Linked DNA regions of Struthio camelus. The protein of the gene in region 4 interacts with the protein of the main gene of each other region in a biochemical or structural test. Links are inferred from orthologs where the notes say so. Each region holds a gene or a part of one and is shown on either strand. Other genes may lie near its edges.

Region 1 (7,027 bases), on a different chromosome or scaffold from region 4:
GCGTTTGCGGCAGTCCGAGCGCTCTGTGCTCCCCGGGGCGAGCCGAGCGCCCAGGCCCACGGACGCCGAGGGAAGCAAGTTTTCCGCAGCGGCTCTGTGCCGCCTTTGCGCCTGCCCTCTGCGCAGGGCCCGATCACCTTCACAGCCCGCAAGGTGCAGCGGCCCGGCCGTCACTGAACACTAAGCGAAATTTAACTCGGCTAGTATAGGCTTAAGTGGTAATTAGCGCCTTCAATCAATAGCAGCCTTGGAGCTTCAGCGTAGCACTAACGAAGGTGCGGATTACCTGGTCAGTAAGTAGCATGACCAAGCAGAAATAATGCAATTAGCACAACACGCTTTTAGTGGTTCGGTTTTGGTTTTTTTGGAAGCGATCTGCAACCCCCGTTGATAGAGGGGGGCAGGAGCCACGCGTGGGGCCGCAGGGCAAGCACACGCTAAATTTATGCAACTGGGCGGCCCCCCCCCCCCAAAAAAAAAGCAAAAAAAAAAAAGGAGAAGGGCAGCGTTTTGAATATTCACGACACCTCGGTATTTGCATTGTAATGGGTCCTTTCAAGAAGGAGCCTTCCCGGCAGCAAGGAAAAACAATGCGCCCATCTGTCGGGGTGCTGCAAGGGATGTTGCTCGGCGGCCGGCGAGAAGCCGGTGGGAGAAAACCCAAGGTAGATCCCCCCCCCCCCGCCCCCAAAAGCGGATTATTTGGGAAGCGAACAAAGCAAAAAGCCGGTTTATCCAGCACCGTCCCGGGCGGCTGGAAACGCGCCATGATGTCGGTGCCGGCGGCAGGGCCGGGCTGAGCCCCCCGACGGGGGCGGGGGGGGGGCCGGGGGCGCCGAGCGCACCCATAACCTCACCCCCCCCCCGCCGCCGCCCTACGGCCCCCCATCCGCGGCTCCGCCCGCCGCCGTTTTGGGGGCCGGGGTGTTGTGAAGCCCCTCTCCCAGGACGGGAAGGGCCCCGACGGCTTGGCAAAAGTCTCTTTTTTTTATTATTTTTTCCTTCCCCCCCCCCCCCCCGGAGCCCCGGGAGGAAGGGACCGGCCGGGCCGCAGCCACCAGGGCCCCCCCCGCGCCCCGCTCCCCCGGGAGCGCCGCCCGCGAAGCCCCTCCGCAGCGCACCCACGGGGGCGCCCCGTCCCTAAAGCATTCCCCCCCCCAACACCCTAAAGCACCCACGTCTCCCCAAAACACCCCCCTCCCCCAGCAACGCACCCCGCTGCCCCCTCGGCACACGCGGCTGCCGGGAAGGGGCGGGCTGCGCTCCCGGGGCCGCGGCTCCTTCTCCCCCCACCCCGGGGCCCGGTACCCCGCACCCCGGGGCGCTCCCCCCCCCCGCGCGGGGCTGGGCGCTGCCGCCGGCCGGGGCTCACCGGGCTCCGGGCCTGCCGGTGCGCAGCGGTGCGGAGAGGAGCGGAGCGGGCGCCGCGGCCGGGCGCGGCTCGCGGGGAGGCGCCCGGTTCAAATGCGGCCGCGTTTATTGGGCGGCCCCGGGGCGGGGGCGGCGGCGGCGGGGGCGGGCGGGGGCGGCCGCCGGCCTTTGTGCGCCGCCGCCGCCGGGCGGAGCCGCCGCGCCGCCCCCGCCCCCGCTCCGGGGGCACCGCCGCGGTCCCCCCCCCCCCCCCCGCCGCCGCCCGGCGTCCCCCGGCTCCCCGCGATCCTGCCTCCCCCCCCGGGTGCCATCACCGTGGTCCCTGCTCTCCTGCACCCCCGGGTGCCATCACCGTGGTCTCTGCTCTCCTGCACTCCTGGGTGCTATCACCATATTCTCTGCTCTCCTGCACCCCGGGTGCCATCACCGTGGTCTCTGCTCTCCTGCACCCCCGGGTGCCATCACCGTGGTCTCTGCTCTCCTGCACTCCTGGGTGCCATCACTATATTCCCTGCTGTCCTGCCCCCCCGGGTGCCATCACCGTGGTCTCTGCTCTCCTGCCCCCCCCGGGTGCCATCACCGTGGTCCCTGCTCTCCTGCCCCCCCCGGGTGCCATCACCGTGGTCCCTGCTCTCCTGCCCTCCAAGGTGGCATCACCCCAGCTCCCTGCTGTCCTACAGCCCAGGGTGGCACTGCTGAGGTCCCCACCGTCCTGCACCCCCGGCTGCCATCACCCCCAGTTCCTTGCCGTCCCGGCCCCCCGCCCGCAGCCCCCGCCCCCCCCGAAGCCCCTCGCTGGGCCAGCGCAGCCCCCTGCTCCCCGGCCCCGGCCTGGCCAGATGTCGCGCCGGCCGCGGCAATTTGCGCTTCCGTTTTTGCGCGTTTGCCATTTTTCTCCGCGGCTTTGCTGCTGCTCCGACACGCGGCGGCCCCCGGACCCCCCCCGGACCCCCCCCCGGCCCCGCTTTCCCGTGCCCGGTTCAGGCCCCCGCGCAGCGGCAGCCATCCGGCGCTTTGTTCGGCGGCCCCCCCCTTCCTCCTCCTCCTCCTCCTCCTCCTCCCGCACAAACAGCCCCGAGAAGGCGATGGCCGGGCTGCGCCTTGCGCCTCCGCCCCAAATCCGGCTCCGGGGCGGCGGCGGGCGACGACGACGACAAATCCCTGCCTGGGTTTTCGGCCCGGCTCCTCCGGTTTCCTTCTCTTCCGTCTGCGCCTGCGGAAGGGCGCAAAGAAGCCGAGGCTGGAACAAGCTAAAAACTTTCCCCCTTTGTGGTTTTTCTGCACAAAACAATGGGGAGAGCGGCTCGCTGCTGCCACCCCACGTCCGGCCTCCGCCGCGGCCCAGGCGCCTTTATGTCGCTTTGCCACCCGTGGGGGCACCCTCGGCCCCCGGCCGGCTCTCCCCTGACCCCGCAGGTCCCGCCGCTCCGGCCGCATCGGTGCGCTGAGCTGCGGCGGCCTCAGCACCGACCGGCCACGGGGAAGGAAGGAAGCGGCGCGGGGGTTGGGGGGGGGGGGGAGTCCCCGCGGGAAGTTTCACCGGGCAAAGGCCGAGTCCAGCCCGGCCTGGATCCGAGGGCGGCGGCGGCGCTACCGGCCTCTCTCGTCCGCCGTGCGGCCGGGGGCACCCGAGGACCCGGCGGCACCACCTAGCCCCGCCCCTGCAGGCCGAAAGGGGCGGGGCGGGAGGGGGAGTGGGCGTGGCCTCCCGCGCTGGGAGGGGGGGGTGAGTCTTCGCGGCCCCGGGGGCGAGGCGTAGGGGGCGTGGTTTGAGGGCGGGGGCGTGGCCTGGCGGGAGGGGGCGGGGCCGGCGGCGCGGCGGCGGAGCGGCGGCAGCGCGGCGGGAGGGGGCGGGGCCTGGCAGGAGGGGGCGGGGCCGGCGGCGCGGCGGCGGAGCGGCGGCAGCGCGGCGGGAGGGGGCGGGGCCTGGCGGGAGGGGGCGGGGCCGGCGGCGCGGCGGCGGAGCGGCGGCAGCGCGGCGGGAGGGGGCGGGGCCTGGCAGGAGGGGGCGGGGCCGGTGGCGCGGCGGCGGAGCGGCGGCAGCGCGGCGGGAGGGGGCGGGGCCTGGCGGGAGGGGGCGGGGCCGGCGGCGCGGCGGCGGAGCGGCGGCAGCGCGGCGGGAGGGGGCGGGGCCTGGCAGGAGGGGGCGGGGCCGGTGGCGCGGCGGCGGAGCGGCGGCAGCGCGGCGGGAGGGGGCGGGGCCTGGCGGGAGGGGGCGGGGCCGGCGGCGCGGCGGCGGAGCGGCGGCAGCGCGGCGCGGTGCGGGCGCGATGAAGCGGCGCGGCGAGCGGGGGGACGCGGCGGCCCCGGCGGGCGGCGGCGGCCCCGGCGGGCAGGCGGCGGCCAAGGCCAAGGCCAAGGCGGCCCCGGCCCCGCAGGAGCGGTGAGTACCTGCCGCGGCGCCGGGCCCCACGTGCGAGCCCGCGGCCCGGTGGCCCGTCCCCCCCCGCCGGTGCGGTGCCACCGCCTGCCCCGGGCCGTGTCCCTCTTGCCGGGGCCATATGGCCTAGCTGGGGCCATGTCCCCATGTCCCCTTTGCCGTGGCCTTGTCACCTTGCCGTGGCTGTCACCCCATGGCCGCGTCCCCCATGCCATGGCTGCGTCCCCCATGCCATGGCTGTGACCCCTCTGCCATGGCCAAGTCCATGCTGTCCGTGCCCCCTACCATGGCCGTGACCCCGCCGCCATGTCCCCGTGTCCCTGCTGTGACCGTGTCCCCTACCGTGGCCATGACCCCCATGCCATGTCCCCATGTCCCTGCTGTGACCGTGTCCCCTACCGTGACCGTGACCCCCCCGCCATGTCCCCATGTCCCTGCTGTGACCGTGCCCTCTACTGTGGCCGTGACCCCCCCGCCATGTCCCCATGTCCCTGCTGTGACCGTGTCCTCTACTGTGGCCATGACCCCCCCACCATGTCCCCATGTCCCTGCTGTGACCGTGCCCTCTACTGTAGCCGTGACCCACATGCCATGTCCCCATGTCCCTGCTGTGACCATGACCCCCCTGCCATGTCCCCACGTTCCTGCTGTGACTGGGCCCCCCTGCCATGGCCATGACCCCCATGCCATGTCCTCATGCCCCCTGCCATGGCCATGTCCCTGCTGTCCATGCCCCCTGCCATGGCCATGACCCCCATGCCATGTCCCCATGTCCCCCTGCCATGGCCAGGTCCCTGCTGTCCATGTCCCCTGCCATGGCCATGACCCCCATGCCATGTCCCCATGTCCCCCTGCCATGGCCAGGTCCCTGCTGTCCATGCCCCCTGCCGTGGCCATGACCCCCATGCCATGTCCCCGTGTCCCCCTGCCATGGCCAGGTCCCTGCTGTCCATGCCCCCTGCCATGGCCATGACCCCCATGCCATGTCCCCATGTCCCCCTGCCATGGCCAGGTCCCTGCTGTCCATGTCCCCTGCCATGGCCATGACCCCCATGCCATGTCCCCATGTCCCCCTGCCATGGCCAGGTCCCTGCTGTCCATGCCCCCTGCCGTGGCCATGACCCCCATGCCATGTCCCCGTGTCCCCCTGTCCATGGCCATGTCCCTGCTGTGCATGCCCCCTGCCATGGCCATGACCCCCATGCCATGTCCCCATGTCCCCCTGCCATGGCCAGGTCCCTGCTGTCCATGCCCCCTGCCGTGGCCATGACCCCCATGCCATGTCCCCGTGTCCCCCTGTCCATGGCCAGGTCCCTGCTGTGCATGCCCCCTGCCGTGGCCATGACCCCCAATGACACGTTCCTGTGTCAGCCGGTGCCCTGCCGTGGCCACAGGCCTGTGCCAGCTGCCGAGGATGGTGTCCCCATGGTCTCCCCCGGGAGGCATCTCCCCGGCTGCCCGCTCTGCTGCCCCCCCGGGTGCCGTCACCCCGGCTCCCCGCTCTGCTGCACCCCGGCCCTGCCCCGTGCCCCTCGGCGCGGTTGCAGCAGGCGTTGTGCAAAGCAGGGTGTGATCCCTCGCCCCCGTGTTTGCATATTAAGTGTAGATGAAGAGTGGCACCTAATAATTAAGCGCGTGACTCCGCGGGCAGCGCTGGCCCCGTGCCTTGGGCACGCAGCGGCACCGGCCCCCTCCGGAGCCCCTCACCGCCTCTGGGCGGCTCCGGGCACGGCGGCGTCCCCGAAGGGTCGGACGCGAGCCTCCCTGTCGCCTGCGGAGCTGCGGCCGCGGCAGCCCGTGACGCGTCCGACCCTTCGGGGCCGCCGCCGCCACTTTTTACCTAAGTGCTTGCTGACTCTCTGCGGCGAACCCGAGCCCCTTTTGCTGGATTTTTCTCCTCGTCCCTGGGGAGTCGCGCAGGCTCTTGGCGCGGGCGGGAAATATTTGGGAGCGTTGCTCGCCGGCACCGGCTCTGGGTGCTGCCCTACAGGGTTGCTCACTCTTTATTGCAAAACTCCTGGCAGGGGCTGGGAAGGGGGGGACCCCGACTGCGGTGTGTCCGCCCCCCCCCCCCCCCGAAGGACGGAGGGGCTGCGCTCACGGGGTTTTCTGCCTTGCAGGGGCTGGCTGGCCTGGCGACCCCGGCTCCGCACCCTCCTCGTGGACCTTGTCCTCATCTACGTGTCTGTGCCCTTCCTCATCCGCCTCTTCCCCGTGCTCCTCACCAAGTTCGTCTTCCTGAACTTCCGTGAGTGTCCCAGGGCCGCGGGACAGCCGGTGCCCCGCGGTCTGGCGTGGTGGTGGGGGGGGGACGGACGACGACGACGAGCCTTTGGGACCCCTTTGGCTCCGATGGCGCGCGGAGCCGGGAGGTGACCCGGCCGCGGCAGCGGGCGCCGTGGGAGCCGGCAGCGTTGCTTCAGCCCTGTCGCCCGGCCGGTCGGGCCGGGTGCCCCGGGCTTGGGCAGGGCGGCGAGAGCAGCCGGCGAGGAAGACGCCCGGCTCGGGGAGCCTGCAGCTCGCGGACCTGCACTGCTGATTTTTGCCCCCGAAGCCCGGGTTGGGCTGCATGCGACGTCTGTGCCCGCGGCTCGGTCCGCCCCGAGCTCCCTGCTTCACCCGGCGGCACCGGGGTAGCGCAGCCCGGCGCGGGCGGGCGCCCGGGCAGAGCCGGGAGCAAGGGGAACACGCAGGAAATGCAAAATACGGCAGCTCCTCGCAGCCCGTCGACGACGCAAGGAAGGGTCTCTGCTGCTCGTGCATCGCGGTTTTGCAAGCTGTAACAAGGCGGTGTTTTGCCGAGGACGTTCGCTGCCCAGAGTTGCAACACGTCTGGGCAGGCAGAGCGTCCAACGGGCCCGAGCGGCCGGCGGTGGGAGCTGGCGGGCGGCTGAGCTCGGCCGAACCGCTTCCCGAAGCCGGGAACAAAACAGCCGTCGTCTTCTGCGGGGGCCGGAGGTGTTTCCAAAAAAACGCCACCCGCTTCGGAGGCTGGCGCGCGACACGCGTTGCTTTGGGAATTAGCCGGCTGGGGGGGGGGGGTGCGAGGGGCGCCCGGGGTCGGCGGCAGCGCCTGTGCCTTCTCCCGCAGTGGCCTTCCCCTACTTCGTGGACCTCCGGCAGCCGGAGCTGCTGCTGAACAACACGGTGAGCTTGTATCTCACCACCGAGCCCGGCGTCACCGTCGGCGTCTGGTGAGTAGCAGAGCCTCAGCGGCGGGGTTGGCGGCTGAGCGTGCCAAGAGCAGGGCTAAAACCCTCCAATTCCCAGTTATGC
Region 2 (7,875 bases), on a different chromosome or scaffold from region 4:
GCTTGGCCAGAGCCCAGGGAGTGGGAAGGAGAAAGTGAGACGGGAGGGTTGGGATGCAGGGCAGCATCAGCCTGGTTTTACACTCAGTCTCTCGTTTACCAGTGATCAGCAGTGTTATTTTACCTGCAGGACTCAGTTCCGGTCGTAAATCTTGTGTCCAGTACAGAGCTGTTCAGGGGTGCAGGGCTGGACAACTCAATTGCATGCTGGCTCGTGCCTACCCACCTACCCCTTCTCCGTGGGCAGGAGCTCCTCCAAGGGCATTTGGGGCAGGCAGACACCTCTCTACACCTAGCAAGTGAGCATCAACCATCACGAGTGAGCTCAGGACAGCCCCTGGGGCCTGGACACCCTGCATCGGGGGCAAGGTTTGCCCCACGTCACCTCTTCCACTGCATGGGGAGAGCCCTGGCCAAACCAGGCTCCCTGGCAGCTTGGCACTGGCCAGGCAGAGCAGAGTGGAGGCATTCACTGTATCCCTGACCTGGAATCAAGATGACACAAAGCCCAGGCTCTGCTGAGGCACCTGAGGATGCTCCAAGGACATCAGGAGCTGCTGGCCACCAGGCAGAACAGGACACCAAGTGAGTCCACGTAGACCTCCTGTGATCCTCCACATTGCGAGGCTCCCTGCCCTGGGGACCTCCTGACACAGGTCCTGCTCAGCCCTGACAAATATGGAGCCCCAGATATGCCCTAATTATGCCCCGGAAAGCAGAGTATTCCCACAGCACTCACCCTGCCCAGAGCTGGTGGATGCTGCTCCATAATGCCCTACCCAGAGGTGTGCAAGGATGAGGAGGTAGGAAAAGGCCCTTCAGTCAGCGTGATCTCCCTCCCTCCTCCCCATTGTGGGATACTGGGCTGGATGGACCTTCAGTCTAACCCAGCACATCCTCATTTCAATTTTCATGAGGTAATTTCAATTTTAAAAGCTCCCTCTGGAATTACATGGGTTTCAGAATATGTTTGGCCTGGGTGCTATTGGCCTGCAAGTCCCCACTGAAACCAAAGAGAAATGTTTCTGTAAAGCATGAAGAATATTTATCAAGCTGATTTTGAGTTCAGTTCATTAGCAATTACCTTTATTTGTCTTCCCCTGCTCCTGCCAACTTACCAGGGCAACGTCTTGGAAACTCGCCTCATTTGGAGAGAACAGGATGTAATTAGCCAGATAATCTGCTGATTCTCTTGTTGAGCTCTGCGTGCCCAATCTCGACACGGGCAGTGGCTGCGCAGGCTGGATCAGACCTGCTTTCTGGTACTGTTTATGCACTTAGTGCTACATAGGCAGGAAGGAACGTGCTGTCCTGCCCTTAGGCAATGACAAATCCACCTCTCAGATGACTCCTCAAATTGTAACCCCTGGGCTAAAACCACCTGGGAGCTCTTGTTCCGGGGTTAGCTCCTTTGCTGAGGCAAAAGGATTCCCAAGGGGATGTGGATACCTAATTTTGAACAGGATAGGAATGATTTATTTCTCCAGGGCAGCTCATCTCTATTTTCTCAGCTGTGTCTGTCCTGGCTGTTTTATCCCAACCCACTAGCTAAGGTCAAGCAATTTACCCACAAGGTGCAGCACAGCAAGAGTTCAACCACAAGTTACTGGGGGCAGATGGCAGCACAAAAGAGATCCTTAACACTTTAATCGGTAAGGGAAATTCAGGGAATACCCAATGCTGCAGGGTCCTTCAGGAGACAGAGGAGGATTGTTTTCTAATAAGTCAGTCAAGAACTTGCAATGCAGCTGGTGGAAAGGATGCGGCACTAGCCTATTGTACACAGGAAATACACTCTTACCCACTCACAACCCGGCAAAGACCCTTCAGCACTGCCACAGGGGCTACATGCACTGCTCTCAGCGCTAGGACAGCACTGTAGGTCCAACGATTGAACTGGTACTCTCTTCATTCCCTCTGTCATCAGGGTGGATAGATCATGTTGGGTACCGTGGGCTGGTAAGTGCATGCCATGTTCTACCCTGGGGAACAGCCATATCTCCGTGGGAGGGGATGCAAGTGCCCTGTGTTTCTTTCTCAGATGATAGCTGCACCGTGGGTCAGCTCTCCCATGCCCTCGCTGCTCAGGAAGGGGGAGGTGCAGAGGACTCCACCAGCAGAGGAGAGTAGCAACAGCCAGAGCAGGGCGTTACAGAGGGGGGCAACTTACAGACACCAAGAGCAAGAACGAGCCAAGAAAGGCTGGAAGGGAGACGGAGAGCTGGGGCTGCGAACGCCTGTTGCACGTTCAGAGGGCAGAAGCATAATAGCAGGGCAGTTCAGCGAGCACCAGGTCCCAGGGCTGGTAAGGGCCTTCGAGAGCAAACCTCAAGGTGCCCACTCTCCTCCCGCCAGGCTGAGGGGATCTCAGCAGCCCCCCTGCCCCAAACCCTCTAGGCACTTCCTCAGGGAGTCTCTCAGCCCATTTTCCAGGTTTTGAAAGCAGAGGTTATAATAGTTCTACCCTGCTGAAAAATGAGCAGGCAGCAGAGCTGTGTGAGCTGTGCTTGAGTAAGAGGGACTGTAGTTCCGTAACCGGGCAGTGGAGAGAGGCCAGAGAAGAGGATTCAGCCGAGGGGGCACTTTCTGCGCCCAGGACTGTAAGCGACCAATTCCCTCCTGAGCACCACATCAATACAGAAGCACTCAGGAGGGGCAACCAGATCTGCATGAGGACAGAGACCCGCCTTGGCCAAGGGGGACTGGGGGAATCAGGACCGATGAAGCTGAGAGCACCTGAGCTGATGATGTTGCAGATGGGCAGGGGGCCAGACACCTCCTCTGTAGCACCCAAGTGGGGAGTGCTTCACCAAGCGGGGTGGGAGGCCAGTGCCACCCCCCAACCCCAGAAACCACCTCTGCTTTTCTCTCCTCCCCTCTTGACAGTGTCTCTGGATAGACTTTGGGAGGTCGCTCCAGGACTGTGGGTTTCGGGTCTGTTCATGATGAAAGGCGGCAGTGCTGAAGTGTTGGTTCACAGCAAGACTGGCGTTTCCATTAACAGCTATTAGACATCTGGAAACGCAGCACAAATACACCACAGCTAGGAAACCTATCAAGAAGATACAACCTTTTCGAAATCCAGAACTCCCCGGGCTTGCATCAAAGTAATACACATGCACTGAGGTCATCTGGGAAATGTCCACGTATGGGAAATTCAGGCTTTCCCCTCTCCTCCCACTAACTTCGGGTCATGCCCTGTTGTGGTGGGGATGCTCCATTCTTTACCACACTCTCCTTCCTCCAGATAATGCAGATGAAAACGTATCTTCTCTGCTCCTGCATCTCAGAGAGGCATATTGAATAGCAGCACTATCAGCAGCCTATGCAAGTTATTTATTCTCAAAGTTTTGCCTGCAATGGATCTTCTGTAGAGTCAAATAGGTGATGCAGAATAGGCTGAAGTGTCTGGGAGGCAAAGAGCGATCAAATGCAAGATCTTGTTCCTAAATTGCTCTTGAACCGTCCTGCCTACATACACTCATCACAAGCTCTGCCTTTTGCTAAGCCGATTCAGGCACGTGGAGCTGGACCCCTGGCTGGCCCTTGCAAGGACAGGCGAAAACTGTCCTGCTCCTCACCTGGCTGGGCTGGACTGAACTGAACAGTCAGGGCTGCAAGGGGAACCCAGGAAATCTGAAGGGCTTTGGCAATTCTCCTCACCCCAGACAGGGCAGGCAGCTCCAGGATCCCACGCCATAAGCTGCCCTCCTGCTGCTCCCTGCTTAAACTACAAGCAGTCTGGGCAGCATAACACTACACTGTGTCTGTTGAACCGTCTGGTTAAACAGAAAGCACTACTACATTGAACCTGCTACTGCTGCCCCATATCTATTCACACAAGTACTTCCTACCCCTCCCTAAAACAATGAACACCGCCCAACAAAGCCACTTGCTGTCCCACTGCCTCTGGTTTTCATGGTCTTGTGCACCTATCTTCACATACGACACTTAAATTCCATTATTTTCTGGTCTCTGCCAGGCGCCATTACCAGCTGCACATCTGAAGTGCGGCGGGAGCTTTCCAGGAGCAGCCTGCTTGCATACACGGGTGAGCTCCAAGATGAGACAGATACGCTTCGCATCTGACACACCATCCCACACAGTGAGAATTACAACAACTTGGATTTCCAGAAGCCTTGCTGGATAGACAAGCAAGTGCTTTGTCTAAAAACTTGCAAAATCCAAGGAGTAAAGCTATGCCTACCTGCAGCAATGCCTCAAACATATGCCAGCCACTCATCAAGGGAAGAACTTGTTTCACCCAGTCTGACCTACTTAACACAGCTTCGTCCAGTGATTCATGCATCAAGACTAGTGAGACTAGCGTTGACCTACAGGAGTGGTTTCCAGCAACGACCCCGAGCTCTTCTCAGGAGATTTATGAAAGACGACTGCAAAAACCAACCTCACGCTCATGCAGCAACCTCTGCCAGCAAACCACCCTCCCCAGGCGCCCCCAGTTTGGGCAGCCTCGAGCCTCCCCAGGGTGAGGGAGGTACAGACAGGCCCGGCGTGGCCTCTGCCAAGTCGAGAGGCCCCTTCCTGTAGCGGAGAAGGCGCTGTGGGCTGCGGCACCCCCTCCCAAAGAGACCCACTCTCGGTGGGCAACACGTCCACCCCCCACCCCGTATGACCGCGGGGTAGCAGGTCTACCCATGACCCCATGTAACCGAGGGGGAAACTACCCACAAGACCAGGTTAGCCCTGGGGCTCTCGCCTGGGCCCGCGACAACACGGCCCGGGCAGCCTACAGCCACCCCGCGCCGGCTCCGAGGGGGCCGGGACACCCCGCCCGCCGCTCCCGCCCCGGCGGCGGAACCCGCAGCCCCCGGACCGCCCCGCCCCGCCCAGCCGCCGGCCCAGGGCGCACTGCGCATGCGCCGCCGCCCCGCCTGCTCGGGCGCGCGCGAGCCCCCCGGCTGGCCGCGCCGCTTCCTTCGTCGCCAACTGTTCTGTCCCCGTCGAGCTCCCGTCGGTCTTTCCGGCGAGAGCCCGGAAGCGGAAGCGGGAGCTGAGGCAGCGTGAGGAGATGGCGGCCCGCGGCGCTGCGAGGCGCGGAGCCGGCGCGGGTGCGGCCCGCGGCCCCGACCCGCAGGAGGAGCCGCCGCCGCCGCTCCAGGCCGTGCTGGTCGCCGACAGCTTCAACCGCCGCTTCTTCCCCATCTCCAAGGACCGGCCGCGGGTGAGAGGCCTTCCGCCGGCTGCCCGGGGCCAGGAAGGGGCTCCCGGCTCCCCTCGGGCTGCCCCGGCCGCGCCGGCTCCTCCCGGGGTCCCTAGCGCAAGGCGGAGCGGCGGCCGCCGCGGACGTCGCTCCCGGGGGCGCGGTGTGCCCTGCCGTGAGCGCCTGGGCCGGGGCTGGGAGGCGGCGAGGCCGCCGGGCGCTGCCGGCAGGTCGCGGGGTGCTGCTGCGCCCCCGCGTCCGCCGCGGCCCTTCCACCGGGCGTGAGCGGGAGGGAGCCTCTGACCGGCCCTCCTCCTTCGGCGGGGTTTATGTGCCCGGTCGGAGAGGCGGTGAGCACCTAAGTGCTGTGTTGGTGCTGTTTGCTTTCCCATATGGTGCAGCCAACTGCGCTGTTTGCTTTTCACCCACTGCTGATGAAGGAGTGGTAGCAGATTTGGGCAGGTTTCCTTCTGGTAGAGGAAAGAAGCAAAGCGTCTGTGTCGGCAGTAGCGTAAAAGAATATGGCCAGCCAAAAGGATGGCAAAAGCATTTTAATTATATAGATGAGAAGGCTGCGTGTTAGAGTGCTTCTGTAGAATTTAGGTCTGAGCAATTATCTTACCTCGCTTGCTGAGTAAATGCTTGCAGTGTTCATAATTATACACGTGGGCTCGGACCTGAAACAAAACACCATCAGAAATGGATCAAAGGATAGTATGAAACTGTCAGTTGTAAATTAGTAAGTTAGTTTAAAAGTGTGACATGAATCTCAAGTCGAGAGGATAGTCACTTCACTTTAGGTAGGGTCTTTTCTTTTCCTTTTTTATTCTGGAGACTCTCAATTCTTGTGGCTTCATCATTCATGTCTGACAGGTTTTTCTTGTAGTAGTTAAAGCCAGAGTCAGGGAATCAGTACTTTGGAATTTTTTGAGTTTTTTTTTTTTTTTTCCTCGTCTCTGTCGTTTATTTGAGTCTTCTTGAAGAATTTTAGGTGCGATAACCTCATTTCTCTTGCACCTTCCTCTGTAAACTAAGGGTGATTCTAACTTCCCCTATGGAACATCAGGAGGTAGCTCTTACTGTCTATATCAACTTGGAGAATTTTCATTGAAAGGAGGTATAGCAGTCATTCACCTTTTTATTCTGACGGTACTGAAGCTAGAAGACGCTGCTGCTGATATGGAGCTATAGTGTGTTTGTTCAGCTGTCTCTCCATCTGTTTTTTTTAGGCTCTCCTACCTATGGCAAACGTGGCCATGATCGACTATACCTTGGAGTTCCTAACGGCAACCGGAGTCGAAGAAACTTTTGTTTTCTGCTGTTGGAAGTCAGCTGAGATAAAAGAGCACTTACAGTAAGGATTTCTTCTGCTTTCTTTTTAGCCTTATCATGGAAAGGAATCTGCCATTATCCAGTAAGCCTCCCAGGTCTTAGATTGCACTGATCCTTCTACTGATGAAAACTGTGCTGCTAGGGATTCCCTTTCAGTAGATGTCTCCCAGCACATCTCAAAAAAGAATATTCCTCATGTGAAGAAGTGGGGTCGTGCAGTATTTTAAAAGGGTTGTTTGGGGGACTACCTTTTTTTACTGGCGTTATTGGCTCTTTGCCTAAAAGCAGCGCTTTCCTGCTTAGCACTGTAATTTATAATACTGCACTTTACTAGCCTTCTGCCGTGTCTCAGTGATCGGTGCAGCATATTGAAACAGTTCTCATTGAAAGTACCTTTTACCTCTGCATGCTGCAGGTTTGCCTGCTCAGGAGAAGCGTGCAGTCTTTTCTCTTCCCTGCTTGAGGTACTGCTTTCAGAGAAAAAATTCCTGAATTGGGTGTAATCTCTCCTTCTCCTCTGTCAAAACTGCTCACAGATAGTCTAGTTTCCTAAGTTTCCCTAAGCCATAGTTTCAAGGTGTTATCATCTTCAGTTCTTTCTGCTCTGTGCAAATGATCAGATCTCTGCCCACTGATAATGTACTCCTTGTAATAGGATTCTTCCTGCATGCACTTATGGATGTGGTATGCACTGGGGTGCTGTGTTCTAGTGTAAAGTATCCACGGTACAAGTATCCCTTTTAAGCCTTCCTGATGTGGTTTTCTGCCTTCAGAAAGTCCAAGTGGTGCCGCCACACATCTCCCAACATGGTGCGCTTTGTAACTTCTGATCTGTACCGCTCCCTTGGTGACGTGCTACGAGACGTTGATGCCAAGTCTCTTGTCCGTTCTGATTTCATCCTTGTCACTGGGGACGTGGTGTCCAACTTCAATATATCCAGAGCCCTGGAAGAGCACAAGTAGGTGTTGAAGGAAGCGCGTGCCTGGCTGGTGTGCCGAGACTCTGGGCTGTAACTGTCTGGAGAGTGACTTAAAATTCTGCCCTTCCTGTTCAGGTTGCGTCGTAAGATGGAAAAGAATGTTTCTGTGATGACGATGATTTTCAAAGAGTCCTCACCTGGTCACCATGCCAGGTGCAACGAGGATGACATCATTGTTGCTATGGACAGTGCCACAAACCGTGTCCTTCACTATCAGAGAACCCAGGGGCTGAAACGCTTCCGCTTTCCTATGGTGCGTCTGGCAGGTGGAAAAGGGCTGTGAAGCAGCACCTCGAGGGAGTCCTCTTAGAGTGAGGACTGGGGAGTGTGCTTATTCCCTCTTTTGGAGCAGCAGGTGATGGGGAGTGACCCTTGGTAAACTTGATTCTGTCTAAGAGAG
Region 3 (6,822 bases), on a different chromosome or scaffold from region 4:
ACGTGAAGCACCCCAAACCCGCAGCCCCGCCGCGAGGACCCGGTCCCGCAGCGCCTGGCCGGGGACGTGCGCTCCAGCCCGGCCACGTCCGCCCGCGCCGGCGGGGAGGCGAACGGCCCGGAGCGGGGGGACACGGCATCAACCTCCCCTGCCCGCTTTGCTCCCCGGCGCCGCGGTCCCCCCCAAACCCCAGAGGCTCTCCCTGGGGCAAAACACCTATCCCCAAAAGCCCAGGCAGCCGCTGTGTCCCAGTCCTCGCCGTCCCGCCACCAGCGGGGAAACTGAGGCACGGAGCTGGCAACGGGCGGGCGGCGGGGGTCGGACCGCGGCTGCTCGGAGGTTGTTGTACCCGGGCGGCAGGGCCGATCTCAGCCTGGTTTCGGGGACGAGGCGGGGGGGGGGCTGGGCTGCCCCAGCTCGTTCGTTCATTCTGTACCGCACCCCCCCGCCAGCCCCCAAACCGCCCCTAGAGCCGGGCAGGGGGCCGGGGCAGAGCGGCGGCACCTTCGGGACGCGCCGGACCCCCCGCGCCCGGCTGGTTCGCCCCCCACCCCGGGGTTAAACGTCGCTGGGCTCGGTGTCGCCCCACCGAGGGGTCCCGCGGCGCCGGGCGAGGGAGGGCAGGGGGGGGACCTTCGAGAGCGCGCCCCGGCCCCCCCCCACCCCCCAGCGGGTGCAGCAGCCCGCGGGGCTCCCGGCGAGGCACGCGGTGGCCGCCGGCCGCGGGGCCCTCCCCGGGGCGGCCGCGCCAGGGCTGGAGCGGGGCCGGCCGTGGGGTGATGCGCCTCCGCCAATCGCCGCCCGCCGCCCCAGACGGCCCCGCGGCAGCGCCAAGGTGCACCCGCCGGGTTACTCGCGGGCATCCTGCCGTAACCCCGGCCCGCGGTAACTCTAGGTCAGGCTCCGTTAACCCCTTCGTTAGCTAACGAGCGGGCTCACCGCCCACCTCCCCTTTTGCATCCGCCACCGGGTGCTTCCGCGGGAGCCCGTCCGGCCGAGCGGTGCCAGAGAGCAGGGAGGAGCGGGAACCGGCCGCGGGGCGTCTCGGCGCGCCGACCTACGTGCCGCTCGGCACTGCTGCCGGCCCCACGCCGGGGCAGCCGGCAGAGCCCCCCGCGCGCCCCCGGCCGGCCCCGCCGACGCTGGAGCGGGATGTGACGGAGCTGGCGCATCCCCGCATCCCCCCCCAGATCTACCTGCCGAGTGTGGCCGGAGCCCGGCTGGTGGTCCCGCGGGGGGGGGTCTGAGCCCACCGCCCTCACCAGCGTCCCCCCAGCGCACCCTTCACGGCCCTGCCGCGCAGAGGACCCGGCCGGTGGCACCCCGGAGGGCACCCAGCCCACCCCCCCCGGCTCAGCTGGCCCCCGAGCATCCCCAGGGCCGCGTGCCGGAGCAGCACGTCCCGGTGCCGCGGGGGGGCACGGGAGGAAACTACGCTGGCTGCTGAGGACGTGAGCAAAGCGGGTGGCCGTGGCGGTGGGCCACCTCGCGCCCTGCCGCTGGCAGGACCCCATCCTGCCGTCCCGGCCCTCCTCTTCCTCCTGCCCTCCGCAGCTCTCCAGGGCGCGAGGCATCCGCCAGGATATTTATATGCCGCCGCGCCGGCTCCCTCCCAGCGCAGCTGCTCCGGGCACTCAGGCAGCATCGTCCCCGGGTGCTGCCCGGCTCCGGGACAGCGACGAGCGTGGACACCACGTGCGTCCCGCGGGTGCTCCTGCCCGTCCCCGCGCGGACGGGCTGCAGCTCCCAGATTCGGGGCTCCCCGCGTGGGGACGGGCAGGAGCGCCCGCGTGCCGCGACACCACGCTCGCCGCGGTCCCCGCCACGCTGCCCTGAGCCTCGCTGCTTCGGCCCCCGGGAAGCTGCAAAATCCCTTCGGCTGGAGGGGTCCCCAGGCCCCACGCGGGGCCGGCCGCGGCTTCGCAGACCCCGGGGCCGCTCGGCACCCTCCTCCGGGCCGTTTGCCCGGCGGCAGCCCCACAAACGGGGCGTAAGGAAAGGGTGACGTCTCCCCTCGCTGCTCCCGGGCTGCGCTGCAAAAGCACGAGGCAGAGCCTGGGGGGCTGCCTGCTGCACGGGGCCGGGCTGCGAAGCTCGCGGTCTCCATACCCGCCCCGTACAGGTATTCTCCAGAAAGTCCTCCGCACAAACAGCACACCCCTTCCGCCTGCAAAATCGCCCCTCTCCAGGGGGGCGAACAAGCCTCCGCGGCGGGACACCCTCGCCCCGATGGGCCGATCGCGCCCGCTCTCTACCCGACCCCTCCTGGACCTTCCGGCCAGGAAAGGGGGGCGGTTGTGACCCCTCCTGGCTGCGCAGCGTGACCCGGCGCGCCGGCTCACCCCTGCTTTGGGTCCAGCGAGGGCAGAGAGGGCTCCAGCCCGCCTCCGGCTGCACGACCCGCCTGCAAGCGGCGGGCAAAGCGCTTCCGTCCCCGAGCCCAACCTGGGAGCCAGGGCCACGCGCGGACACCGAGAGACGGCACCTGCTACTTCCCTTCGGAAGACGCTGCGCCGGCCGACGATCCGCAAAGCTGAAGTTCGCCCCTTGTCGCCCACCGGAGTTTGTGTTTCTTCTGAGCTTCCCGCCCTGCGAGGTCACCGCAGCCCCGGCCCCGAGAGCAGGCAGGGCTCCCGGCGGGCGCTGCTCCTGCAAGCTGCTGGGCATCGCCGCCGCAGCTGCCCGGGAAGGGGGCCGCGCGCTGCCCGGCCTCGCCGGCCGCCCGGGCATCCTCCGCCCGCGGCCCTGGCGGGCTCCGGCCCCCGAAACTCATCTCTTGCTTAAGTCGCGCTAACCCTGAGCTTGGCCTAAAGGCACCGGCGAGGCAGCCGGGGCCTCGGCGGCTGGAAGCGGGTGGCTCTGCTGGCGGCGGCTCTGGGTGCCATCGCCACCCGCCTGTCCCCCGCCATCGCCGGGCTGCGCGGGGAGCCCGCGTGGGGCAGGGGACGCGAGGGGTGCTCGGCGGCGGGGCTGCGGCCCCCCCAGCCCTCCTTGGCCCCCTCCCCTCGCCGTCGGGGGTCTCGGCCTCCAGGGGGATCGGCCGCACAGCCCCGGCCCGGACACCTCCCCCTGCCCATGCCCCCCCCCCCCAAGCCCGGGCAGGCGGCCCGGGGAGCCCAGGCGTCCTGGAGGGAACGACCGGGAGTAACCCCGCGGCTGACGTCAGGCGGGGCGGGGCTAGAGGCGACACAGTGCTGCGGCTGGGGGGGCCCCGCCGGGGCTGCCCCGGCACCGGGGGCGGGGGGGGGACCCTAGCCCCGGGGGGGGGGGGGGCTCTGTGCTGGCCCCCCCCTCCCCTGCAAGCACCCGCCGTGGATCCCCCTCCCCGGCCTTGCTCCGAGCCCCCCCGGGCCTTGCACCAAGCCCCCCCCCCCCGCCCCGGCCGCGCACGGAGCCCCGGCGGCCGTGCACCGAGCCCGCTGCCCCCCGGCCCTGGCCATGTACCGAGCCCCCCGGTCACACACCGAGCCCGGTCCACCCGGCTTTGCACCGACTCCGGGTCCCCCAAGCTCAGCCCCCACCCCAGCCGCGGCCAGGCACCGAGCCGCCTCCCAATTATGCACCGAGCGGGGGCCCCGTCCCCGCTCCCCGACCATGCACCGAGCGGGGCCCCTCCAGCCCCGGCCACGCACCGAGCCCGGCTGCACCGGGACCCGCCGATGCACCTTGCCCGGTGCCCCCCGGTCGGCGGCCCGAGCCCGCTCCCCGGCCATGCGCCCAGCGCTGACCACGCACCGCGCCGGCCCCCGCTGCCCCCCCGGCCCCGCTCCCGGTGCCGCCGGCGCCGCGGGGCTGGACGCACCGTCGATGTCGCTGAGCAGCGCCGTGTCGATGTCGCTGGTTCCAGCGAGGCCGAGGGCCGGCGCCAGCCCGTCCAGGGCCGGCGCCAGCCCGTCCAGGGCCGCGTCGTCGAAGGCGAGGGCGCTCATCCCGGCGGCGCTCACGGGCCCCGGCGGCGGCGGCGGCTCGGGCCGGGGCTGCGGCTGCCTCCGGCTGCGGCTCTAGGAGCGGCGGGACCGCCCGGGCCGCCCGCCCGCCGCCCCCTGCGCCATGGCCGGTTCTGGTACGGCGGAGAGAGAGGAAAACCAAACCAAACCAAACCAAAAAAAAAAAAAAAAAGAGAGGAGGGGGAATTAACCGCGAAGTTGCGCCCGCGGACCGTGCCCAAACCTGATACCGGGCAGGGGAGGCGAGGCGGAGGCGAGAGGCGGGCCCACCGCCTCGGCCCGCCCCGCGGAGGACACCCCGCCCCGGCCCCGGCCCCGGCCCCGGCCCCGAGCCCGGCAGGGAGCGAGGCGCCTCCATCCCCCGGGCTGCGCATCATCCCCCGGGGCAGGCGGCACCCCCCGGGGCAGGCACCAAATACTCGGGCTGGGCGCTAAATACCGCCTAGGCCCGGTTTGGGCGGAGAGGCGGAGGTGGAAGCAGGCTGGAGGGCCAGCCTTAGGGGGGAAGAGGGGCGAAGGAGCCTGCAGAAGCCCCCCAGCACCTTTCAGCGGCCCCGTGCCAGGGTGAGGTTGGCCCAGCACGTCCTGTCTCAGGGCTCCTGCAATTCCCCGGGGCAGCGGACGGGCTGAGAACATCTGCTTTCCCTGGGAAGACAGATGTGCGGTCTGTCCCCCTTCCCTGTGCAGGGGGATTGTCCCCGTGCCCCAGCTCTGGAGCATGTCCTGCACCGGCACCTGACCACAGCCTTCCCCTGCAGCCTCGCTGGGGAGCCCGAGACCCCCCTGGCCTCCCTTAGGGACCAGCAGCAGGCACCAAAGGGCCATTGCTGCCCTCCGAGCCCCAGCCGAGCCCACGCAGCCTCCTGGCGCTCGGCAGCCTCGGTGCCTCCAGCCCCTGGGCCACCAAGGAGGCGAATTGTCACTGGGAACTGGGAAAACCGCTGGTGGCTTCAGGGTCAGCCCGGCTGCTGCCCACGAGGCGCAGGAACTGGGGCTCAGCCGGGGGGGCTCACGTTGGGCTGAGCCGGGGCTGCCAGACCCTGCAGAGCTGGGTGTCTTGTGTTCCCATCAGGAGCAATTTGGGAAAAGAAAATGCACTGCAACATCCCCCTCCCCCCAAAAAAAGTTCACCCACTCCTCTTCTGCACCACCAAACGCAACCTAAAGCTACCTGTGCATTAATTAATATTGGGTGCACCAAAAAAAACCTCTCCCCTCAGGCTTCGAACCTTTTAGGGGGAGGCTGCAGGTCTTCAATGGGGGCGGCATCCCCGGGACAGGCCTTGGAGCAGCTCGTAGGAGGCCGCGGACAGAGCGCCCGGCGCGCGCACGGGGCTCTGGACAGAGCTGTGGGCGCATATCCCGCAAAAGCATCGAGGCCAGCGACGGTACAGCCGGCCTGGGGCTGTGCAGGGGGCTGTGTGCTCTCACCCGCCGTCTTCTAAGCTCCCTGGGGAACAGTCGGGCTGCACGACAGCAGGAGGTTTCCCTTCTCTTGCGGGAAGGCACTTACTGTGGGCAGCGCACCGCAGAGGGATGAGGCCGGCTTCCAGCCGGGTTTTGGAGCGCCGCGGTGGGGCAATGGATGGTGTCGCGTCCCCGCGAGGAGCGTAAAGCAGCCTTGCGTGAATACGGGGGTCACACGCCTTTAATAACCCACACGCAAGACCTGCAGCACAGCCTGCCCCCGTGAGACATGGGAGGGGAAAACACACACACGCACATAAACACGGCTTTCTTTTCGCGCCAGGCAGGGAGCAAGGGGCGGCCGGAGCGGGAGCGTGCAAGGTGCCTTCCCCATCCCCATCCCTCCCCCCGAGCCGGGGCGGGGGGCACGCGCGCCCCGGGGCCCTGCGCACGGTGCTCTGCTGCGGTCCAGGGGACCAAAGCAAACAAATAACATCCTGCGCACCATGGGGAAGGACGGTTAAGCAACACGGCCGGCCACCCGTGGGCAGGGATGGATTGGGTGGCCAATGGATGCCACGCGGGGTGGGGCGCCCCGGGGGAAGCGGGGTGGCGGGCAGGGAAAACCCCGCCTGTAGAACCAGCGCGCCGCAGCCAATAAGCGCCGCGGCCCGCAGTGGAGTGATCCTGCATCACGGCTCAGGGCCCACGATTACATCATGCCGCTCCTCCGGGGATCGGCCAGCGGGGCCACGTGGTCGCTTCGGAGTCGCTGAGACATTTTTCCTGAGCATAGGGTGGGAGGAAACCGCAGGGAAGAGACAGAAAACAAACCGGCCCGGAGACGGCCGGCGCTGGACGCGGAGCCAGCCGGGCAGGCTCGCGCTGCTTGCAGCGGGCTCGGGCGCCGGCGTAGGGCTGGCCACGGGCTGGGAGCGTCGCAGGCGGCAGCGCGAGGCTCTGCGGACGTGCCTGCTGCCGCCCTGAGACAGCTGCAAGGAGCATCCCCGTCCTACCAGCTCCCTCTCGCTCCGATCGTGCCGGCTCTCGCAGATGCTCTGTCCAGCTGGCTGTGAGCCCCGGCACACTCGCTACCTGCCAGCACATCTTCACCCCGTGCTGAGAACAGCCGTGCTGTTTGGGCTAATGCTCCCCAGTCCTGGCCTTCAGCATCCCTCGTGCTTTGGAGTTTTGTTTTGCTACAGCAGAGTGCAGTGTTAATCATTAATGTGTTGCAGAGAGATCCAAGCCCTCTTCTCTCCTTCGCTACTTGTAACTCTGCGCCACCAACTATCCCTTCCTGAGCTACGGCTTCAGTAAATACACAGCCGGGAACTGCAGCACTCGGGCATCCTGGGCTGTCCCGGCTCAAGGCTCAGCCCTGGGGTAGGAGGGAAAAGACAACTGCATGTGTGGTCACCTCCTATCTGCACCGGGATTCAAACTGGGGGTCTCAAACTGACCACCG
Region 4 (6,877 bases):
TCAATAAATTAAAATGGAGTCATATACAGATTTTCCCCACAAAAATTAAAGAGTCTTAATACACACTAATGCTGGATCTGATCAAACATACACTCTTATGCTGCTAATATGGATTAACTGCACTCCATGTTTTTCTAAGTACTGCAGGCACTCTGATCATGCAGATACAAGGTAGACTACAAGACCCCAAGCCCAATGCTCTCTTCAAGGCTTCAACCGCAGTAGAAGACATTTCGGTGCAGAAAAATGCCAACATTTCTGGTATGTCAAAAGCTCACAATCACATACAGCTTTGGCATGAGATGCCCAAAACAATATGATACACACACACAGTGCTGTCAGGTGTGGCTATACACAAGCATCAAATAAATCGATTGAACAGTAATGCATACCAAGCATTCCGCGTCCCATAATGATGCCACCCTCTATTTCCACAAGAAAAAAATATATACTTTTGAGAACTATGCTAGTAACACGAACCTGCAGGAACAATTCAGTTGTTAATATGAACATATTCAAATCAGGAGCCAACAAATTCTGTATTGCGGACACGTAGCTAGTCTTTCATGACTCAGAATAGGGCCTTTCTCCATTCACACCATACATTTGTTAATATTTAATACACATTTCCAATTCGCACGAAATACCCAATCCCACTGGCTAGAATATGAAGGATGGGCACATATTAAATACTTATTCCATCTACAACACGCCTGTGCAGAATAGAGCATAGGCCTCGTTCTTAAGAAAAATTCCTCTGATCAGAAAACTGGAAAAGGCATACTGAGCTTGAAATAACTACTCCATAGACTCACATGTCATATTAACGATTTCCTCATCCCCTCTATTGAGCATTTTAGCAGAGCCTGATTCGTATTACAGAGAGACATTTTAGTGCAGCCCACAAAAAAAAAAAAAAGAGAGAGAGAGAGAGAGAAAGAAAGGCTTACAAAAGGTGCTCACACCCGATCTACAGCTGCCTGGAAAAAAATCTACTAAGCTTTCTCCAGGAGAACCAACAGTTATACAAACGTATACTGAACATGAATGTCACGACCATACCTACGGGTCCGTAATTCATTTCCTCCTTTCACAGAAGGAGGAAAAAAAAAAGCCTCTAGAGCTTCCAATCCATTTTCCAAAGAAATATTCTTTTCAATTAGCCAAACGGGCGGCTCACAATATTAGCAGAGACAAGAGGCTGTAGAAACGGATAAAACAAGCGATATATACATATATATATATATATATATTTTTTTTTTTTGGTTAAGCAGGCCCCAAACGAAACCATGATGTGTGCCTATTCAAGGTTAATGAGGGGGAGGGAAGGGGAGAGAAAGGGAGCCGCCTCATCCAGGGCTAGAGGCAGCCCAGGACTCTGCCACTGCCCAGGCTCCGAGCCACTGCGTTACCGTATTTACCGAAAGATATACATATATAAAATAAATACGTATATATATAAATATATATATATATAAATTGAATTATAAAAATTAACAACCCCCCCCGCCACCCCCAGGACGAAACACCGCGGCGGGCGCCCCGCAGAGGGTGCGGGCGGCGAATCAATACTCACGGCTAACTTTCATGCTGCCGAAGGCCGAGGGCTGCTGCACCGGCTTGCAGCTCTCCGCAAAGGAGGTGGTTCTGGGCCGCCCGGACATGGTCTCCGTCGCTTCCTCTGCCCCTGGTCACCTTCCTGCCCCGCTGCCGCCGCCGCCCGCTTCGCTCTCGCCCGGCCGCAGGAGGCGGCTCAGGCCCGCTGCATTCAGCTCCCGGCCCCCCCTCTCCCCCCCCCGACCCCCCCCCCAAAACCCGGCCGGGGAAGCCCCCTGCCCTCTGGGTCTCGTCGCGCTTCTCGCGGCTCCTCCGCCTCACGCCGCCTCCTATAAGGACATCCTCGCCGGCAGCACCAGCGGCTCCGAGCGCGGCCTCCACCCAGTCCGCAGCGCCCCCGCCGCCGCCGCCGCTCCTTCTCCCGGCTGGGAAGCGATGGGGGTTTGCTAGGCCTCGCTGCCCCCACCCTGAGCGCCAGTCACATGGGGCGGAGGCTTATGGCCGGGCTCCTCTGATCCCGTCCGCCGGGCTTTTCTTTCTTTTTCTTTTTTTTTTTCCTCCCCTCCTCCTCCTCCTCTTCCCCCTCCCCTCTCCTTTCCTTCCCCCTCGCCTCTTCGGGAGGCAGCAGGGAACGGGACTATTTTTCCCCGGCGGAAGGATCTCGGGGCTCCCGGATCCGCCGACAGGAGGTGATGCGCCCCGCTTGCAAGGGGATCCGGCAGGGGCGGTGGGATCCGCGGCGGGCGGAGTAGGGGGTGAAGCGGCCCGGGCGGCCTCGCTCGCTCGCTAACGCTTCTCAGTGCGGCGCTGAGGCGGCGGCTCCGGCGCGGCTCCTCATTGCGCCCGCAGGGGCAGCTGGCGGCGGCTCAGGCTGGGGAGGCTGCAGTGCGGGTGGCGGCCGGAGGCGGCGGTGCAGGCCATGACGGCGGCGGCGGCTCCCCAGCTCCTCGTCAGCCGGCTTCAGAGCGCTGGCGGCGACGGCGGCTGCTGCTGCTGCTTCCCCGGGCGTCCAAGGCACATGGGACTCGCCCGCCCGGCTAAAGGCTCCTGCCGCTCCCTCCCGGCGCCGGCTGCCTCCTGCCGGGCCCCCTTCCCCGTTCCTGCCGATCAGTCCCTTTGTCCCCGCTGCTGCCTCCGCTGCGTGCCGGGCTCCTGCTGCTGCGCGCTGTGTGTGCGCCAAAGCCGCGCAGCCGCCTATGCGCGTTGCCGCCCTACGCTGCGGAACGGCCCTAAGCACCTTCTGTGAATACCCAGCCGAAGAGCCCGACGCACTCGCCAGCCCCCAGCCCGAGGCCCTTACGGAAACGTCCGAGCCTCCTCGGGGCCAATCCTGAGGCCGCTACAGAAATGCCTCTAACGCCTCGTAACCAATCGCGGAGTCGTTACGGGCGCAGCCGAGTCTCGCCGAAGGAGAGCGCAGACCCAATCGGCAATTGCTGCCGCCGCCCTAGCAGCGCGATCGGCGAGCCAATAGGAAGAGGCCCTCTCTTCCGGCCATTACCGGGCCCACCCGAAGAGAGCCGAAGCGGGAGAGCCAATGAGGGGACGCGCTGTCGCCCTGGGACGGTTTCAAGCCGCAGCCTGAGGCGGAGAACGCGTCCGGGCTCCGATTGGCTTCCCCGGCGGAGGCCTCTGATTGGCCGGCGGGGATGAGGCGGCCCGAAGACGCCATCCAGCTGCTTGCGCGGCGCCAATCCGCAGCCCGGCGCTGCTGGCAGCCTCCGCTCCCACTGGGGCTCGGCGGCGCCACCTCCCAGCCGCGCGCCCCGCCTCGCTCACCTTTATGACCTCACTGGAGGCGCAGGGCGGGGCTGGGGGGAGGGGAGCGCGCGTGCGCAGTGCCGCCGTCGCGCATGCGCAGGGAGGGGGCGTCGCGGCCTGGTGCGGCCTGTGCCAGCACCTAATCGCCTTAGCTCGTCTGAGCGTCCTGCAGTCATTTTATCCGCATTTTATCGGCCTTGGTGCCACCATGAGCGGGTTTGGCTTGGCCTTGCCCGGAGTCCCAGGCGTTTATCGCGACGCTCTTCGGGAAGGGCTCACGCTCTTCAGGGGTCTTAACGCGTCTGTGGGGCAACAGCTCCCGGCCCTGGCAAAGCCGGAGCTGGAGCACTGCTGCCTGCTGCTGTGACCCCAGGAAAATTACTCAGCAGACCTCAGCCAAAACTGAGAACCTCTTCCTTCTACCACTAGGAAAAAAAAAAAAGTACTTGCCAGAATAGTTTATACCACCAAGAAAATAACTTGGACTGGCAGAAGCATTTTCTTGCCAGTGTTAAGACTCTTAAATTTAAGAGCTGCTTCTTTCAAGGCATAAGAGTGCTGCCAGAGTCTTTTACTTTTTTCAGTCCTTCTCTAAACGGCATTGCTACATGAGCAAGCAAAGATCAGGCCAGAGGCAGCTGACGTTTATCCTTTGCAAGAGCTTTGTTCCAAGGCAAAAAACAAGCTCACCCTCTCAAAACGGTCCTGTTCAGCACTCCGCTCACCCCAGGGTGCTTGGTTTGCCAGAAACCTTTTCACCTTCTGATAAATGATACGTGATTTTTAACTATCGCGAAGGACCTAGGACTTTTTAGGGTTTGATTCTTCATGAGCTACCTGCACAGCTCTGTGCAGCTGGGAAATTAAAATTCGAGGGTGGCGTGCCTTACCAAGGACTGAAAGAGACAGTCTGAAGTCACCCCCAAACCACCCGGCCTCACTCACCACTCTAGACCCCTCGGATACACCACTATATTGAGCGTTGCTCAGCCACAGTCTCCATAAGTCACCAACCACAAAAAAATGACACGTTCTCTCCTATTCTGGTACAGTTCTTCACCCCCTACCAAGACTACTGGGGATGGAAGGCGAAGAAAGCAGGGGACAGCAATTTGGGCTACAGATTGGGTTAGTTCTCTAATATAGAGTGATCTTAACTCAAAAGACAAAGTCAATATGCAACTGGGCAGTGTCCAGCTTTCTTCTACCGGAAATGAACCATCAGATGTTCCAGGCATGTTTTAAAGCAGAGCTTGAAATCGCTTTTTAGCCTTGAGCACCAACACCAACACAAATCACGTTTTCTTATATTCTGATGAAGTTCTTTCAAAAGACCACACAAATAGTGGAACTGACCTAAGAGAGACCCTAAGCTTTGTTGTTTGACAAAGCAGACAGTCTGAAAAACGGCGGCAGGGGTAGGGGGAGTGGGACGATGATCTCTTTACATTAGCATTCATCATTACCCATAAGACTATTAAATAAAAATCACATACATTAGCCCTTTGCCGCATGTCTTTTAAAACTCTCTGACAAGTCTACATTCATAAATGAAACATCACCTTCATTTACTTATGGAGAACAAGGTTAACTCGGGAAAAAAAAAAAAAACAACCCTTCATGGTTGTACTCCTCAACATGGTTTATCTCGTCCCTACCAGTTTCCCCTTCAGTACCAAAACAATCCATATCAAAACCAAAACTCTCAGTTACTACTAATCTCGCTTTTCCAAATCCCAGCCCTATCCATCCACTTGGGGAATGTACACTAAAAAAATCTCAGCTGCCCTGCTTCCCCTTAGCCAGTCCTGCCCACATTTCCAAGTAATTATTAACCAATGAACTCTCCAAAACCTGTCCACTTCAGTCAGAGAGTTTTCTGCTCATCTACCTTGAAACCACACACATATATTTAAAGGAGAATTGTTACGTATTTGAAGACCAGATAAATATCATCCCTTTCCAATTTCTGTTAGTTTTTTTTCATAGACTATTTCCTTAGTTAAGACTGCTATCAGAAAAACCATAAACACATGATAAGGGCATCTGTTAAGCCTTCATTCTCGATTTCAAAACTGTACTAACAGTTAAAATCATTTGGGCAAATCATGAGTGAGCTAGTTGCTCTTTTGGATTGAAAGGTTCTCTTTTGACAACATTGCAAATTTCATATTTATGTTTGACCCCTTGGCTGATGAAATGACCTCCCTTTACAATCTGTAAATATAAATAGAATTGACGTTTTAATGATCAGTTTTCACAAGCAAGAATAATCCAGTGTCCCAGACATTAATATTGTTCCGATCTGGATGGGAAAGACAGCTTTATAGTTGCTAAAATGCAAAATTAAAGCATTTTTTTGGTAGCATCCAAGTTCTCAGGGAGGGTACCTGAAAATACTGAGCGTCTGATAGAAATTACTGAAGTGTTATCTCTCTAAAATGCCATAAGGTGGCAGTGAATTAGAAAACTGGTATTATTTTTGGACAGAACAAATCTTTAAAAAGCTTGATAGCAGGGGGACATTTTTTGGTCGATTGGTTCGTTGGTTACATTTCATATATCGTGCGGGCACATGCAAGACTCCAGCCTGAGCCGGGGCCAGAGTGAGAAGTGTGACAGAGTCTGCTGGCATAAACATCAAATCCAGTCATGTTAAACATACACGGAATAGTTCTGCTCCAACATGCATTGGTAGTAAGCAGATATGTTGCTGTACAGGGAACTCCTGCTTTTTCTTTCTCCTTTGCTTCCTCTGTGGGTACTCAGCAGAAAGACTTTCTGTTGCCTCTTTGTTTGCTTACCATGCAGCTATTACTGGGTCATTCCAACATATGCCACGGTGAGAGGGCAAGAGGGTAGTGTTTTATACCTCAGTTAGGCTGATAAGGATGCAATCATTTAAGGTTGTCTTGAACTTTGAAACACTAGTGAATTAAAAGAATATTAATGGATATACTGGTTTTGCATCTATTTCCCTAGTATTGCTGAGGGAGTTATCCAAGAAACAATTTAGCAAGATACTGTAATGGCTTTTTTCTGGTTTAATTGGCATGGATAAACCCAATGGTTATGGTTGAACTTTAACTTTTCTTTTTTCTTTTTTTTTTTTTTTTCCAGTGGAAAATCAGAGATTGTAATAGTAACAAATTTACCGACTGCCCAGGCATTAATGATTAGACAATAAATCCTGAAAAGTGGTTTTGATTTTTGTCCCAGAGCAAAATCCAAATGAATCTATGTTTAGAAAGTACTAGTTGTGTTTATTCTTCTGAGCAGGACAGAAGTTTTTAATCTTGAGAACCCAGCATTTTGCAATGATTTCCTGTCACAAAATGTCATCATTGACAATTGCTTCAGAGAACAGCTGATGTTTTGCTGATCTGAATGTGCGTGGGTGCACTTAGGCCTTGTAGGACTCCAGGTATATTTGCTAAGATCAATGGAGCCAAGTGGTCTGAACAGTTTAATGTGACAGGAGCTGTGGACAACTTCCATTTCCCAATTTGACAGCGCGGTAGAACAAGTACAGCCACAGCATACAGGTTCATGGGAATGT

What was found.
Region 1: of the proteins of GSK3B (region 4) and NIN, one has a biochemical effect on the other in vitro, tested with the Homo sapiens proteins (2 studies listed by BioGRID and IntAct). The link is inferred for Struthio camelus from reciprocal best matches to the Homo sapiens genes GSK3B and NIN.
Region 2: of the proteins of GSK3B (region 4) and EIF2B5, one has a biochemical effect on the other in vitro, tested with the Homo sapiens proteins (2 studies listed by BioGRID and IntAct). The link is inferred for Struthio camelus from reciprocal best matches to the Homo sapiens genes GSK3B and EIF2B5.
Region 3: the proteins of GSK3B (region 4) and SREBF1 form a complex in vitro, tested with the Homo sapiens proteins (2 studies listed by BioGRID, with this or other methods). The link is inferred for Struthio camelus from reciprocal best matches to the Homo sapiens genes GSK3B and SREBF1.

What each region holds. Positions count from the first base shown.
Region 1 is NC_090946.1:80,848,099-80,855,125, reverse strand, and holds the start of NIN (ninein), read right to left. Parts: upstream 3,006-7,027; 5' UTR 2,912-3,005; intron 2,661-2,911; exon of another isoform or gene 2,537-2,660; intron 1,480-2,536; exon of another isoform or gene 1,373-1,479; intron 1-1,372. Other genes in the region: protein ABHD12B, read left to right, coding at 3,642-3,754, 5,872-5,999, 6,843-6,945. UniProt on the Homo sapiens protein: Centrosomal protein required in the positioning and anchorage of the microtubule minus-end in epithelial cells. May also act as a centrosome maturation factor.
Region 2 is NC_090950.1:22,485,058-22,492,932, forward strand, and holds the start of EIF2B5 (translation initiation factor eIF2B subunit epsilon), read left to right. Parts: upstream 1-4,874; 5' UTR 4,875-5,031; coding exon 5,032-5,184; intron 5,185-6,392; coding exon 6,393-6,517; intron 6,518-7,268; coding exon 7,269-7,454; intron 7,455-7,550; coding exon 7,551-7,728; intron 7,729-7,875. UniProt on the Homo sapiens protein: Acts as a component of the translation initiation factor 2B (eIF2B) complex, which catalyzes the exchange of GDP for GTP on eukaryotic initiation factor 2 (eIF2) gamma subunit.
Region 3 is NC_090956.1:3,831,815-3,838,636, reverse strand, and holds the start of SREBF1 (sterol regulatory element-binding protein 1), read right to left. Parts: upstream 3,004-6,822; 5' UTR 2,731-3,003; coding exon 2,343-2,730; intron 1-2,342.
Region 4 is NC_090942.1:93,118,332-93,125,208, reverse strand, and holds the start of GSK3B (glycogen synthase kinase-3 beta), read right to left. Parts: upstream 3,005-6,877; 5' UTR 1,665-3,004; coding exon 1,577-1,664; intron 1-1,576. UniProt on the Homo sapiens protein: Constitutively active protein kinase that acts as a negative regulator in the hormonal control of glucose homeostasis, Wnt signaling and regulation of transcription factors and microtubules, by phosphorylating and inactivating glycogen synthase (GYS1 or GYS2), EIF2B, CTNNB1/beta-catenin, APC, AXIN1, DPYSL2/CRMP2, JUN, NFATC1/NFATC, MAPT/TAU and MACF1.